3 separate regions of the Mus musculus genome follow, and all the other regions are reported to be linked to region 2. Evidence: microRNA targets listed by miRTarBase, many of them from high-throughput screens and not tested one by one. Region 2 holds a microRNA gene; each other region holds the end of a gene's coding sequence.

Region 1 (5,096 bases), not on the chromosome of region 2:
TTTACTTTTCCCTCCAGACCAGGTGCTCATTCTACTTAATGAGTGCTGATTCTGAATGTATGGTTATATCATTAAAGCTAGCTAATACTTACTAGACATAGTTGTTGAGGAATTAAATAGTCCAGTTTTACCACTCCTGTGTGTCTTTCCCATATAGGACCCTGTATCTTACACTACTCTTCTCTAACCCTTGAAGACTTTTTAGGAAATATACACAAGACATTAGAAGTTACTTTGCAGACAGACAGATTTTAATTTGTCCATTACTACTGAATATTCAAATTATTAAGTGGTCACTCCAGGTGTGATAGGAGATTCTTTCCAAATTCTTAGTAAAGTGTACTACTTTTTCCATACATAGTAAGGTGAAAACTTAATTTCTACATCTCTCAACTTCCTATAGTAAATGTATGTAAGGTCATGCATGCATAAAGACTGAGCTTCTTAGCTAACCTCTACAAAGAGGTATTACAAAAGAAATACAGAGCTAGGTCTATATAAACCTCTTACTCGGCTTAGTCACATGATGCTTGCTTTAGTGAAATGCCACTCACATTATATACAGACTCCTATATGTAGATCCAGAAAGGCCTTTGAAGTGTCCAGAGAATCACTGGAAGTGATCATTAATCTTTTTTATTGCCCATAGGGAGGTGGGATGCACATTGGTTCTACTGAATGGCTTCAGTTGATATTTGGGAAAGCTTATTTATATTAACTTCATTGAATAATTAGTGAAATGAAAAGCCCCAGACTTGTATTATAGATGATATCTCTTTATTATAGTTTGAAAATTAATTTTGTATTTTATCCTTTGCCTCTCATTTAGTGATTTCTTAGTACCGGACTACTTAAACCAGGAGCAAGAAGAGACCCTTGTTCAGTATGATCTTGGAGAACATACTTTTGAAAGCAACTCTTCTGTTCAAATGCCTGTGATTTCACAGGTCTCCTCAACCCAGAATTGTGAAAGCACTTTTCCCCTGGGCTCTCTTGGTGGGCTTACAGAGAAGGAGGAGGAACTGCATGAGCAGCCAAAGACCAGTGCTCCTGCTGAGGCGCCCAGGGATGACCCCCCTAAGGCAGAGCTGCCTGCTATAACTATTGAGTAATTCTGTGATTGGCCTGGGGTTTGGTTTTTTGGAAAGTGCCTGTGCTTGGTCTCATATGTTTAAATTTAATTTAATTTTTAAAGAAGGGTTCCCTTTGTAAACCCTAAAACTGGAGGGTTCTATGTTTTGTTTTGTTTTTTCATAGCTGAGAGATTGCTTCTGTATGTATACAATAAGGTAACATTGAAACAGAACATAAACTTTGAGACTTAAGGAAAAGCAGCTGACTTAGAACATGGCAGTTCTTCCTCCCATTGTTAAAAGTGGGCAGCAGCAGATACAAAAGAACTCAGGCTGTGGTTGACCTTCCTGAGAGAAGAGGGCTAATGAGAAGTTATTAAACAGTTTGACAAGGCCTAAGTAAATGTGTACTCCTAAGTGCAGGGTGTTATAAACCCTGTAGTTTTGGAAGTATTTGTGGTGGGTTTGTTTTTGTTTTTGTTTTTTTCAGATGAAGGTAAATAACTTCTGAAATCCAGTATATTCTTTTTTAAGCCATTTTGAATTTTCATAGTGAAAAATTAGTATCAGGCAGGTATTTCCTGTACCTTTATAGCACCACTCCAGAGGCTAAGAGGTGTGGTTGAGAAGAGTCAGGCTGCATGTGGAATGGCAGGGTGCAGAACGAGGTACGTATACCCAGCTTTGCAGAAACTCTCCTGAGACTTTCTCTTCCTGGTCATTGAATGCTGACACCTGGCTAACTAGGGCATTGCTCAGAGAAGTGTCCTCGTGTCCCACCAACAGCACTTTCATTTGCATATACTATTGTGCTGCCATATAAAGGAGAAATAGTGAAGATATTCTATATTTTATATATAGGTTTATGTATTGTTGAGGATGTCGATGCTGTGCTGTTTTGGACAAAATAAAAGAATTCTGTTTTGAGGCTACATTCTTAACCCAATTAAGATTGTTTACAAGGTCACATATGACAACAATATAATGTCCTTATTCCAAAATATTTTGAGGTATTGCCAAGTTTGTTAAAAGCTTTCACGAGATGTAAGCAATAATGTAAAAGATACGACGAGGTTGTGAGTGATCATCTGTGACTCAGACATGGAGGGAGGGATTGTTAAGACCAGAATCTTAAAAACTTTGCTACTCAGACGATAACATTTATATGATATTCTAGATTGGGATATACTTTTTTATCTTTTGCCATTAAAGCCTCTTTGATCTAAAATATTTATGAAGCCACGAGTAATGAACTTTTGTGTAATTTTTTATATAGAAAATAGCCCCAATGTTTATCGTTATGATAGCCCCTGATGGGGTTAGAAGATAAAAACAACATTTTGTTTGTTTGTTTGTTTGTTTGTTTGACTTTGGACACTCTCTTTTGTTTTGTGACAGGATCATAGGTAGTCCAGGTTGGTCCAGAACTCATCATCCTCTTGCCTCAGTTTCCCAACAACCTTTGCTACCATTATATATTATAGACACACATCACCACACCCAGATCAGACTATAGTCTTAGTCAAACACCTGATCTGACTTTTATCCCAATGCCAAACCTTACTTACTTTTTATATTATAGTAATTTGTTTCTTTAAAATTTATTAATTCTGCAATTTAATTTCTGGTTTTTTGTAGGTTTTTTGGTTTTGTTTTGTTTTTGGGTTCTTTTTTTTTTTTTTTTTTTTTTTTTTTTTCCAAGACAGGGTTTCTCTGTGTAGCCCTGGCTGTCCTGGAACTCACTTTGTAGACCAGGCTGGCCTCGAACTCAGAAATCCGCCTGCCTCTGCCTCCCAAATTCTGGGATTAAAGGCGTGCGCCACCACGCCCGGCTGAAATTTAATTTCTATCTCTGTTCTTTTTTCTTCTTGATACTGAGAATTGCACCCAGGACTTTGTATATGATGCGCACGTGCCCTGTCACTGGTCACACCCCCACCCTGAGTCCCAGTTGTTTTTTACCTGACTCATGGCTGATTGCTCCCAAGCATAGGTGGGTAGCTTTCAGAAAAACCAACTAGGAAAGTCAGTCATTTTTATTTTTTTATCATACATGATCTTTGAAAACTGTGCCTAGTAATAAAGAAATCCTAAAACTCACTAGAATCCTATTTTAGTATGGTAAATGTTCTTGGTTCTAAATTGGGTTGTTTTGTCTTGGTTTTTTTGTTTTTTGTTTTGTTTTGTTTTGTTGTTAAGAGCTAGAAAAAAGTAAAAGGAAGAAAGAAATGAGAATAAATCAGAGATGAATTGATTTGAAGAATTCTTTTTAGATTGTTTTGATTGAAAGTGTTTGAGTCTACTCTATCCTAAGAGTCGTGTGTTAGGACAGCCCTGGCAGCCTCCCTGTGAAGGACACACCTCCCTGTGGATTTTTATCCCTAGTGGCAAAGCTTGTAGCCAACCTTAGTGACAGATTTGAATATACTATGAATGCACAAATGGTTAGTTGCCTACTACCCAAACATTTTTAATAAACTTACCTAACCAGTGTTTAATATAAAATGATACAAAGGCTTTTTTCTGTTCCAATGAGACTCTACATTTTTAAGGATATTTTGTTTATGGGTCTGTTATAGGAAATACAACTGCAAGAGATAATTGTATATATAGTAATATTTAAAGTTTATTTAAAGTTGATTTAAGAGAGGAATGCCTAGATGTATACTTTTCACCAGAACATATGGAAAACATTGAAGAGATGAAAGCCAGTTACGATCCCGTCATAGAAATCACCAGGGTAACTAAACAGAGAATCATTCTTGTTTAGAATATTTAAAGGTAGCTATCTTTTGTAAGGCCAACAAGGGTACCTTTGTGATATTTAAAGGGCTTAAATTTTAGAATGCTAGATAAATTACTTTTTAAAAAACAAAGCATTTTATATAAGAAAAGCTTTGTTTTCAGTTTTTTTTTTTTTTTTCCAACTACCAAATAGATAGGATGTGCTTTAGAAGCAAAGCTCTTCCCGTGTTGTCAGGAGTCGTAGCTCCTCGTGTCAGTCTTTGCATTTCCAAACTCTAGCCTTCAGAGTGTAATGTCAGGAAATCACTAACTCAGAAACAGAAATTTGACAGTAACCTTTACTTTATGCGTTTAAATTTTTCAAGAAATGGATGTAGATAAATGTTAATATCCACTTCCCTTAATTGGCCATTTTAAACAATCCTAATTTTTATTTTCAGTTTAATTTCAAGTTTAACCACAGTTCATTATATTAATAGGTTTTATTTTGGGTTTTTGTGGAGTGTTTGTTTTTTTTTTAAGTTCACAGTTTTGCTAAGACAAAGTGTGCTAAGCTGTTTAGGTTTGACCGTTTGGAGTCCCAATAGATAAACAGGATCCGTGTTAAGATACATTCCCTTTGCTATAAAAAACAAACAAACAAACATGCTTGTGTTTGTTAAACTGTTTTACTAAGAGTGAAGTAGTCAGGGCCTCTGATTCGCTGAGTCACTGGTAACTCAGCTTCCTTCTAACTGCTGAGCCAGGCTCTCCTGTCTTATAACTCATCCCTGTTCCTTTGGAAGCTATGTTAAGTCTTTCACTCCTTTAAAAAACAAAACAAAAACCTCTTATTTTATTCTCTTAGTCTAATTACTAGAAGCCACTTTTGCAGAGCGCGTGTCCATTTTCAGATTAAGCTTTAGCCTGTTAGCTTTGGAGTCCCTGCAAGGTGCGTGACCATACAGTGCTATGCAGGTGGCTTCTCTACCAGGATCACAGAGAATGATTTCTTATGATGGCAAATGAATGCTCGGTCCTCAATTTTAACTGAAGAGATTTTGATTTGTAGATGTAATGAACAGGTGAATTGGAAACTTGCATTGTCCTGCATCACTCATCTGCCCCAAGGGCCTTCAAGCTCGGAAGTATACATCTTCGTGAAGGAGTGATTTTTGAGTTCTTAACTAGGGGTGGGGGAAGGACCTAGGAAAGCTCACATGGAGCAAACAGCCCCAAGGTAGGGGAGGAAGGTGAGTTTTCACTGCACTGCTAAGTGTTGCCATCAGATGTCTTTTT
Region 2 (5,182 bases):
AAGGTAAGGGCACGCTAGCCGTGGAAGGCGTAATAGAGCCATAAGGCAGTTTTAAAATGAGCTAATATGTATACGTCTTTTGTTGTTTTTAATGATTTATTTACTTATTTCATGTATATGAATACACCGTCGCTGTCTTCAACACATCAGAAGAGGGCATCAAATTCCTACAGATGGTTGTGAGCCACCACGTCATTGCTGGGAATTGAGCTCAGGATCCATGGAAGAACACTGAGCCATCTCCCCAGCCCCACAAATGTGTCTTATTCACAGATCTGAGATAGCTCCTGGGAGGGTACGTGTATGCAACAACCAGGAACACAAGACTACATACTACAGTTCCCTACTTCCCTTCCCATCCAGATCTGCCTCTTTCTGTCTCTCATTAGAAAACAAATATGCTTTTTCCTTCCTTCCTTCCTTTATCCCTTCCTTCCTTCCTTCCTTCCTTTTCTTCTTTTTTTCTCCTCCTTCTCCTCCTCTTCTTTTTTTGGACAGGATTTTTCTGTCTTGAGTTCTTGGCTTTCCCAGAACTCATTCTGTAGACCAGGCTGGCCTTGAATTCAGAAATCCTCTTGCCTCTGCCTTCTAAGTGCTGGGATTAAAGGGATGCACCACCACTTTCCAGGTAACAACCAGGCTTCTAAGAGATAATAATAATAAAGCCAGGCATGGTGGTGCACGCCTTTAATCCCAGCACTCGGGAGGTAGAGACAGGCGGATTTCTGAGTTCGAGGCCAGCCTGGTCTACAAAGTGAGTTCCAGGACAGCCAGGGGCTATACAGAGAAACCCTGTCTCGAAAAAACAAAAATAATAAAGGAAGTTATAATATTATTAAAATAATAAAACAAAAACTAATGAAAGACCCCTAAAGGGAGACCCTCACTCAAGTCTGGGGATAATAGTGGACCCCCAAGAACTCACGAGAGACCAAGCTTGATGCAAACCACACAAGGCGTTATTGGGGAAAGCCAGAGCTCTGGGGACGACTTGTATCCCATGCAGAGGTAGAGGAGTCGACCCCAAGGGGAAAGGGGTCCCAGTTTTTATAGGCCCTCAGGGGGGAAAGGAGAAGGAGGGAGTAGGGGATTTCCAGATCTAAACAATGTCTATTCTAAAATGATTTCTCAAGAAATGGGTATGGGAGGGGTACAAGGAAAGAGTCTGGTGCAGGTGCAGCAACTCTGGATTGGCCCCAGCTGTGGTTGCTGGGGAGATTTTCTGACTCTTTCCCAGCAACCAATATCACAAACACCTGGCAGTGGGCTGCAGCAGTGGGCACATACAGGGGTTCAAGGAGCAGCCAGAACATTGTGCACCTCTATTTTTCTAAATCAGTGAAGCTAGTTCTGCTGACAATGAAATCTATTTTGCCAATTTCAGGGCTTCTGTGATCTTTTACATTCTGTCAGGATCTTTCACTAACATATCAGAACAAAACAAAACAAAACAGAAGGAAAAGAGCCCAAGAGAAGGCACAAGAATCAGAGACCTGCTTATTCACACAGTCAGGAGTCCCAAAAATATACTAAAGTGGAATCCATAGTATATATGCAAAGAATCTGCAGGGTAAAAAAAGAACCAGCTTGCCTCCATCTTAGGCTTAAAAGTCATCTTATAACAAAGACAAACTAGGCTCATTTTCTCAAGGATTGGGCTATGTCCCACCTATAAGCTTAACTACAAATGATTCTGTCCTGCTTGTTCTAGGAATGGCAATCATAACTTTATTTCAAAAACTTGTGTATAACCATCTTATAACTCTACCTTTGTTTCAAAAGGCTCTATGACTACTGATGCTACCTTGTTCTGGCCACCTTTGCAACCGTATCTTTGTTTCAGAAGGGTATAATTTGTTATATTCTGCTCCTGTAACCCCACCAAACCCCTCCCTACTCCTGAGCTATAAAAGCCTTATCTTCCTCATATCAAACCCACCTTGGGCAGTGCACATTGATAAAAAAAAAAAAAAGCTTGCTTTAATTAGTTTGGCCACACTAATTTGGATCAGTGACCTTTTTCTTCCCATTTGTGAGATTAACAAAAAAGGAGAGGAGAAAGCCGAGAGTGGTGGCGCATGCCTTTGATCAGAAATCCACCTGCCTGTGCCTCACAAGTGTTGGGATTAAAAGTGTGTGCCACCACTGCCCGGCTATAGATTTCTTTAAGTTATTTTTTCCTTTCCTTTTTAAGTACCTCTGTGACCGTCATATGGTTGGTTTAAGGCCTTTGTCTTATGCTTCAGCTATGTTGCAATACTCAGAGCCTGGGGAGGTAGGGTTGCTGGGCTCTAGTAGAGGCATATTGTCCTGGCTGTTATTGTGTTTTTATAGATGCAGGCATCTATGTCTCTGGATTGACTTTGGAAGTTTATAATTCTAGGTGCCAATATCTGGACTTGTCTTTGTGGGATGAGTGTTTTGTTCCTTGGTTTCTATTGCCCTGCCTGGGTCTTAGGTGAGCATGGTGGCTGTGAGTTGCCTAGTAGGAAATACTTCTGGAATCCTGGTAGGTTTGGTCACTGGAGGCTCCAGGTACAATGTATTTACTTAGGAATGAGGATGGGATTAAAGGGGTCCAGTCTGAGGGAGTCCACAGGAAGGAGGAAAACAGGGTATTCCACCAGAATCTGCTTAGTCCCTTGTGAATGGGGGCAGAGAGTGAGGAGAGGCCACAGACTAAGGGAATGGTGTGGGGGACGGGGCGCCTCTGGATTTGGATGAGAGGAGAAAGAATGAAAGTATAAAGCCCTTTGTTGACCTGCTTTGATGGCCTATTGGCTTCTCCACCAGGCTTGGCTAGAGGGTTCCAAGGGAATGCCTGCTGGAGTTGTGTGTGTGTGTGTGTGTGTGTGTGTGTGTGTGAAGTGATGAGTTGGGAGTGGTGGTGAGAAAGGTTAGAGGGAAGATCTGTGTGGTCCACTGGAGGAAAGGGCAGAGAGGAAGTCAAGGCTGCAGCAGATGGTCTACTACAGAACTGGAGATGCGACTGGAGGATTGACTTGAAGGAACAAAGAGAGAAATGAAGACCTATAGTCACCCTACCTATTTCCTGACATGAGTGGCCTGTAGGTTCCCAGGGAATGCCTGCTGGAGCTTCAGGCTAAGATAAAGCAAAAAGGATTAAAGGTACGTGCCTTCTTATCTCAAAGATCCATATTAGAAGTGGATCAACCAAACAGGTATTGTTGTTAATCCCAGAAGAAGCAGAGACAGGATGATCTCTGTGAGTTCAAGACCAGCCTGGTCTACAAATCTAGTTCCAGGACAGCCAAGGATGTTATACAAAGAAACCCTGTCTTGAAAAACATGGAGAGCCGGACTGTGGTGGCGCACGCCTTTAATCCCAGCACTTAGGAGGCAGAGGCAGGCAGTCTACAAAGTGACTTTCAGGACAGCCAGGGCTATACAGAGAAACCCTGTCTTGAAAAACCAAAAAAAAAAAAAAAAAAAAAAGAAAAAAGAAAAGAAAAGAAAAGAAAAGAAAAGAAAGAAAGAAAGGAAGGAAGAAAGGAAGGAAGAAAGAAAGACATGGAGAGGTGGCTCAGTGGTTAAGAGCACCAACTGCTCTTCTAGAAGTCCTGAGTTCAATTCCCAGCATCCAGGTGGTGGCTCACAACCATGTGTAATGGGATCTGATGCCCTCTTTCGGGGTATCTGAAGACAGCAACAGTGTATTCACATACATGAAATAAATAAATAAATAAATAAATCTTTAAAAGAAAAAAAAAAAAAACAAGAACAAAGACAAAAACAACCAACACACACACACAAAGAAGTGGATCAACCTACTTCCCTCACAGAAATCGATTTTTAGATTTCATTCAACTTCAGATGTACTCAAGTTGACAAGAATAGTCATCACACTTTCCTTCAGTTCCAAAATCTCAGGTAGGTTTATTGCCCTTTTAAAATTGTGTCATTACAGGGGTGGAGAGATGACTCAATAGTCAAAGCACTGACTGCTCTTCCAAAGGACCCTGGTCTGATTCCCAGCTCTCACATGACCGCTAACAGCCACCTGTAATTCCAGCTCCAGGGGGATCCGAGCCCTCATCTGGCCTCTGTGAACACTGCAAGCACAAGGAGATCACACACATGCATCCAAAACACACATACACATAAAAATAAACCTCAAAACCTTAAAATAAAATAGCGTTATTATCATTAGTTTTATGATTTTCTACCAAGGTTTTGGAGGTTTATATTTGTCTTAGATCTCGGTCCTCGTTTAGTTTGTGATTTGTAATTCTATTCTCTCGTTTTGCAGTTGCCTCTCCACTCTGCTGACTGTTTCCTTTGCTATCCCCCAGTATTTCAGCTTTGCTACCTTCTGCCTCTTTGTTAGCGTATTTTCTGGGAGGGAGGATATTTGTCATCTCATCATTCATTCATAGGTCTTATCTATTGACTCCCTGTTTATGATGCTCAGTAAGTATTGAGTGAGAATAAATCATTCAGTGTATGGACAGTGCACAACATTGGAGTAGGTGATCTACTGTTATCCTCTATGATTTTTGGAGTTTGCATGTTTTAATAAATAACACAATTTGGGGATTGTTTGTTTGAAATGGTCCAAGGGTGAGATGGGGCCCAGCTTTTTGGCCTTGAATGTATAGGCTGGGGAGGTTCTCCTGTGCTAGTTTCCTGAAAAGAGGACTACTGAGCAACCATACCACAGAGAAATTCTGCTCCATGTGTATTTTTCTATCAATTCCTTATTTAATACTACTCTAAGATCCCAATAGTACTCAGAGTTTATACCATTGGTTAGATTTTTAACTTTAAGCCATCCTTATCATCCTTAAGAAGTAAGGCACTCTTTAAAAGCTGATTTAGTTCCTCATTTAGTAAGAAAGCTATCAATATATAAAACCTGGGGCTGGAGAGATGGCTCACAGGTAAGTACTGTTACTTGGACATAGTGGTACTTACCTTCAGCAGATTTCTGTGAGTTACAGGCCAGCTTGGTCTACAGAGAGTTCAGAATGACTAAGGAAAGTCCTGTCTTAAAAAAGAAAGTGCTATCTAATAAGAAAGAAAGAAAGAAAGAAAGAAAGAAAGAAAGAAAGAAAGAAAGAAAGAAAGAAAGAGAAAGAAAGAGGAAAGAAAGAAAGAGGAAAGAAAGAAAGAAGGAAAGAAAGAAAGAAAAAGAAAAGAAAGAAAGAAAAAGAAAAGAAAG
Region 3 (5,096 bases), not on the chromosome of region 2:
GGCATAGAATCAAGTCTTTTTTCCTTGAGACAAGGTCTAACTATGTGGTTCTGGTCAGTTTTTTTGCTTTTTTGCGGCGGGGGGGTTGTACACATATTACCATGGTACAAGTTTTTTTTTTCCCTACTATATGGTTTCTGGGGATTGAACTTTGGTCATCAGTGTTGACAAGCACCTTTACAAGTCATCTTACCAACCCGAGCTTTAATTTTCTATGTACTAAAGTCATTGATAAATGAGTTAATTTCTGTGTACATGCAGGTGCATCTGCACTTGTATGTGGGTATGGAGACTAGAGGACCACTTCTAGCGAATTCTAATGAATGTCGCCAAGTTGTTGGGACAGGTCTCTTGTTGGCCTGAGCTAACCCATTAGGCTAGACTAGCTGGCCAGAGAATACCAAGAATCCTCCCTGTCTGCTCCTTTCCAGTGCTGAGATTACACAGCTGGCATTCATAGTTTCTAAGAATTCAACTTCAGTCATCACACTTGGGAGGGAAGGACTTTTAATTAGCAATGATACATTAAGTTATTAAAGGACCCTTAAAAGTGCTTTCTTCAAAAGCAACAATTCTGTGCAAACAGTTTATTCTGATCCTTTAAGTACCAGTGACTCTCCATGAAATAAGGATCTAAGCCGGGCGTGGTGGCGCACGCCTTTAATCCCAGCACTCGGGAGGCAGAGGCAGGCGGACTTCTGAGTTCGAGGCCAGCCTGGTCTACAGAGTGAGTTCCAGGACAGCCAGGGATATACAGAGAAACCCTGTCTCGAAAAACCAAAAAAAAAAAAAAAAAAAAGAAAGAAAGAAAGAAAGAAAAAAGAAAAAGAAATAAGGATATAAGCCTTTAAGTTCCTGAAAACAAGCTGCCTACACTGTCCATGGCTTAATTCTATTAGAGACAAGTGGCATTGCTACTTTGCAGACTTGTCTTCAAGATGCACTGATCACACAATTCCACTAGAAATAACTGGTACAGTCAGGAAAAATGTATGGAATTTTATAAAAAAAAATATAAAGATGGGCATATGCCTTCAATCCCTGCAGGCAGAGGGAGGTGGATCTTGGTGAGTTCAAGGCCAGTTTGGTCTCCACAGAATCCCAGGCCATAGGTTGCATAGTGAGACCATCTCAAAAAACAAACAAGTAAATGGATGTATAGATGTCTACTGTCTTTTCTGTTCAAAACATTTTCAAAACTGTAAAAAAGGCCTACTATTAATTTTATCCACAATTCTGGGGGCACAAAAAACTTTTATCATAAAAGTATATAAGGTAAACACTTTTAATGAAGTTTATACAACTAACTAAACTTGATCTGTCAACTCCCTTAAGTCAGGACAGTTCAATGTTTAAAAGACTTCCATAAGAAGACTCTGTTAAGTATGAAACCCCTTAACATCTTGTCTTAAGAAGACCAATGAAGCTGTCAAGATGGCTCAAGTAAGTTAAAGTGTTTGCTGTGATTGCTTGACAATGTGAGTTGGATCCCTGGTAGGAGAGAAGTAGAAGTAACTCCACAAAGTTGTCCTGTAAGCTCCATGTACACAACAAGGCACACACAGCCAATATATACACACAAATTTAAAAAGAACACCTATTGTCTCCAGACATAAGATTGTGTTTCTGTCCTGTTGTTCCCCAAGGCAGCAGATAAAGACAGTGGTATTATGAAACTATTCTCACTATGGAACAGCAAATATTTGCCATCAAATTGTACATAATCTTGAAGTTCCAATTGAGACATGCTACAAGGACTAGAATACCAAAGGTCTTCCCAAATGACAGATCGAAAGCTTTCCAGTCAAGAAGCTTCAGAAAAGATCTCTTCAATGGAACCCTCTCTCAAATATGTCTGAGGGCATAAAGAATTCTTCAACCAGGCACAAACCTCCCAACACCAAATTCTGCTTTAATTAGTATAATTGGTTTATTTCAGGTTCACATGTCTTGCCTTTCAACTGCCAAACTTCTGTTATTTCTAAAAAAATAATCACTTTCAAAAGCAGAAATTAAAGATATATATTTAATATATAAAAGAAAATGCTAAATCTGACATAATTATATCCTTAAAAACATTCCATGTATTTACAGGTGTATAAAAGGCGAGTTATTGGTCGACTGAGATCATGCTTCTTAGTCAGGGTGGAGCTTTTTCCAGGTTCCTCCAATGTTCTCACTTGAATTCACTTTTCATAATCATACATATAATTTTAATAGATCAGTTTCTCCTAATGAAATGCTAAAGGGTAGGAGTTTAGGGAGATTTTTTATTTTTGTCAAGACTACATGATTGTTCTAAAGACTAAACCCTCCTCAAATTCGGCCTGATAGCTCCTAAATTTGTCTTAAGAACAATGTATCTTGGGAGTTTGTAATGACATCTGCAGCTTTCCCTGAACCAAATCTCATCTCTATCTTTGTACATCTTTCATAAACACAGGCAAGTATCTTCCAATAAAGAATAAACCCTGACCTGTTTTTTTTCTATGCTTTTTCAAATTTAAAAAAAAAAGAAAGAAAGAAAGAAAGAAAGAAAAGGAAAGGAAAGGAAAGAAAAGAGAAAAAAGTATTCGGAAGCCACAATGGTCCATTGTTTCCTGAGGATTATTCACTCCCTTGTTTTGTTTCTTGTCTGACTCTCAAAACCCAAAAGGGCTCTGGGAAGCCAGAAGAACACTCGGGAAAGAAACAGGCAATAAGACCACTGGAAACTACTATACCTGGGCTAAAGAACTAGCGTCTCTGAGGACAGCTGCTAGCAAGGGCGACAGGTGCTGCACTCCTTGGCTAAGGCATTGGATAAAGTCAGTTGGGTAAAGGACAGAAGGGACAGAGGAGAAGCTGAGGAATACTGTTTTTACTTTATCAGCTTTTGTAGTAAACAGGAAAGGTTAAGTGCTGATGACCTGTCTAGAGCAAGCAGCGCAAAACCAATGAAAGATTTACTACCACTGCCATTTGCAGTGTAAGTTTTTCATCATTTCAATCTAGTGATTATCAGAGTTAATCTAAAAAGGAAATCAAACATAGAAGTAATTCACTGGCTAGATTCATTCCAAAGTTGGTCTCACAACCTAGGTCAGAGGATACAGAGTGGGACTTAGGATAAAGACGCAGTAGTGTAAAAGAAATACAATCACCCAGGCACAGCCCAGGCACCGGAAGCACTTGTGTTAAAGTGTTTTTACAACACAAGCAAATCCTGTCATTGAAGACAGAACGGGTTACATTCCAAAATATAATTATTTAAGAAAGGCAAATGCAGCAGCTACATCTCAGTCTATACATTTTCAGAACAGTGATTCTTGCCTCACGAGTTCCCGAGAGACCCCTCAAATGCACCATGATTATTTACAAACTAGATAGGAAACATTTCTATACTCAATACAAATCTCTTCTAGGTCGAAAACTTCATCCTTTGAGAAATCTATGAAAACAACTATACAAAAATATAAATATCTTCATCTTTACAGGTTGTCAGTCCTTCATACCCTGACAGCCAATGAGTGAAAAAGCTCTACAGATCATTGATGCCATGATAGCAGATAAAAAATATACTTTGTGACTCAAATACTGCCTTACTTCCCTGGTAAAGATTGCTCACTCTGACTCGCCTTTTCTTTACATCCTGTGCAGGTGACAGTGAACAAAACCTTCAAGCACCTAGAGGCTGGTTTCATTTGGGAAATACCCAGCCCCACAAATTTTTATTTTGGCTACGGTCTCTGGTTAGGGGAGAAACTGCTTTTCATTTTAGCTGTTTCTTGAGTGACATGATTTGGGAAAGGGAAGGGCTGCCTCTATGTCTACTTCCAAAAAACAATGAGTAGAAATCTCTGGTATTATGAATGAATCTTTGTGATACCCCAAGAAATAAGGGAGAAGTATGTCTTTTTTAGTCTCTGAAAATAAGTATGTTAATAGTAAAAGTAAAAAGTATATTCCTACTTTACCAGAAAGCTTAGGTTTTTAATTATGACTGAAAGGGTAAGGGAAGAACTATTCTGGATATGAAACAGTCTGCTGAATGACAAAATCCCTTCACTTTGGTATTCCATAATATTCATCCTACCTACTATAACATTCTCTCTTCCTACTCCCCTGGCCCCCACAAGTGTGTATGTGTGTGTGTGTGTCTGTCCCCTTGATAGGCCAGGGTAGACACAAACTTGCAATCCTTCTGCTTTAGTCTTCTAAGTGCTGGAATTACAAGTGTGCACTACCATGCCCAGTCCTACCATGCCCTACTATTGAAATAGTAACTAAAAGTTCTTTTTTTTTTTTTTTCCCACACAACTGTATCATAATTCTCAGATTTTGGAGCCAACAACTATGACTTATACTTTAGTCTATAGTAATTCCAAGTCTCAAGCATTTTCTCAGGGGAAAATAATAAGGTAGTTGATGGAGCCAGAATCTTGTTATGAATTCCTTGGGCAAGAGGGAATCACACCTTCTTAGAGAAGATGAGGGGACCCAGCACCACAAGTGAGGTAACACATTTTTAACATGATCAGAATTTCAAACACCAGGACCAGCACCCTACACCTCCTTTCTCCATCAATATTCACACATAATTAAGTCAAGGATAATAGTTCCATAATACAAACAAACAGACGCCTACAGAGAAAGGAGGTGAAATTCATTTCCCCTCACAGCCTGGCTTTTGTATGAGGATGAACAAGCTCATTTCCCTGATGAACTTGATGGAGCTCCAGAGTTGCCCAATTTAGGTACAACAGGTGCCAATGTAGGCATCACCTTGCTCCCCCGGCCTTCCTGGTCAATTCCTGCTAAATTCATTTTGTGTCCAATTGACCCAACTTTGGCAGCTATAGGTGCCAAGGCAGGCATCACCTTGAGACTCTGACCATCGGCATCACTGGGGGGATTAGCTACTTTTAAACCTAATGGGGCCAACTTTGGCATAGGCCTCCACAAAGTATCTGTGTTGCTGTTCTCCGGGCCAGTCTTCATGTGTAAGATGGGAGGTGAAGATACACTTTCAGGCTCTGCGGGGAGACCAGAAGTACTCTGCCCTCCATCACTAGATTTCCTATGGGAAACAAGAGAATCCTTTATTTCAGGGTCAA

Evidence for each region. The annotated mature microRNA mmu-miR-1946a reads AGCCGGGCAGUGGUGGCACACACUUUU and lies in region 2 at 2,129-2,155, opposite strand. An mRNA with a match to its seed (bases 2 to 7 or 8) in the 3' UTR can be bound and repressed. Matches are read on the target gene's strand: a 7mer-m8 pairs with bases 2 to 8, a 7mer-A1 pairs with bases 2 to 7 and ends in A, and an 8mer does both.
Region 1: the mRNA of Zbtb44 is a reported target of mmu-miR-1946a. Seed matches in the 3' UTR shown: 7mer-m8 at 2,900-2,906.
Region 3: miRTarBase lists Mga as a target of mmu-miR-1946a. Seed matches in the 3' UTR shown: 7mer-m8 at 638-644.

Annotation. Positions count from the first base shown.
Region 1 is chr9:31,067,916-31,073,011 of GRCm38, forward strand. Zbtb44 (zinc finger and BTB domain containing 44) reads left to right here. Exons shown (of 6, transcript NM_001115130.1): 6 at 830-5,096. The coding sequence ends at 840. Among named protein-coding and RNA genes, the nearest start is that of Gm17508, 12 kb to the right of the region's middle.
Region 2 is chr16:32,265,412-32,270,593 of GRCm38, forward strand. Mir1946a (microRNA 1946a) reads right to left here and starts at 2,172; the gene lies at 2,039-2,172.
Region 3 is chr2:119,964,559-119,969,654 of GRCm38, reverse strand. Mga (MAX gene associated) reads right to left here. Exons shown (of 24, transcript NM_013720.2): 24 at 74-5,096. The coding sequence ends at 4,690. Among named protein-coding and RNA genes, the nearest start is that of Mapkbp1, 5.6 kb to the left of the region's middle.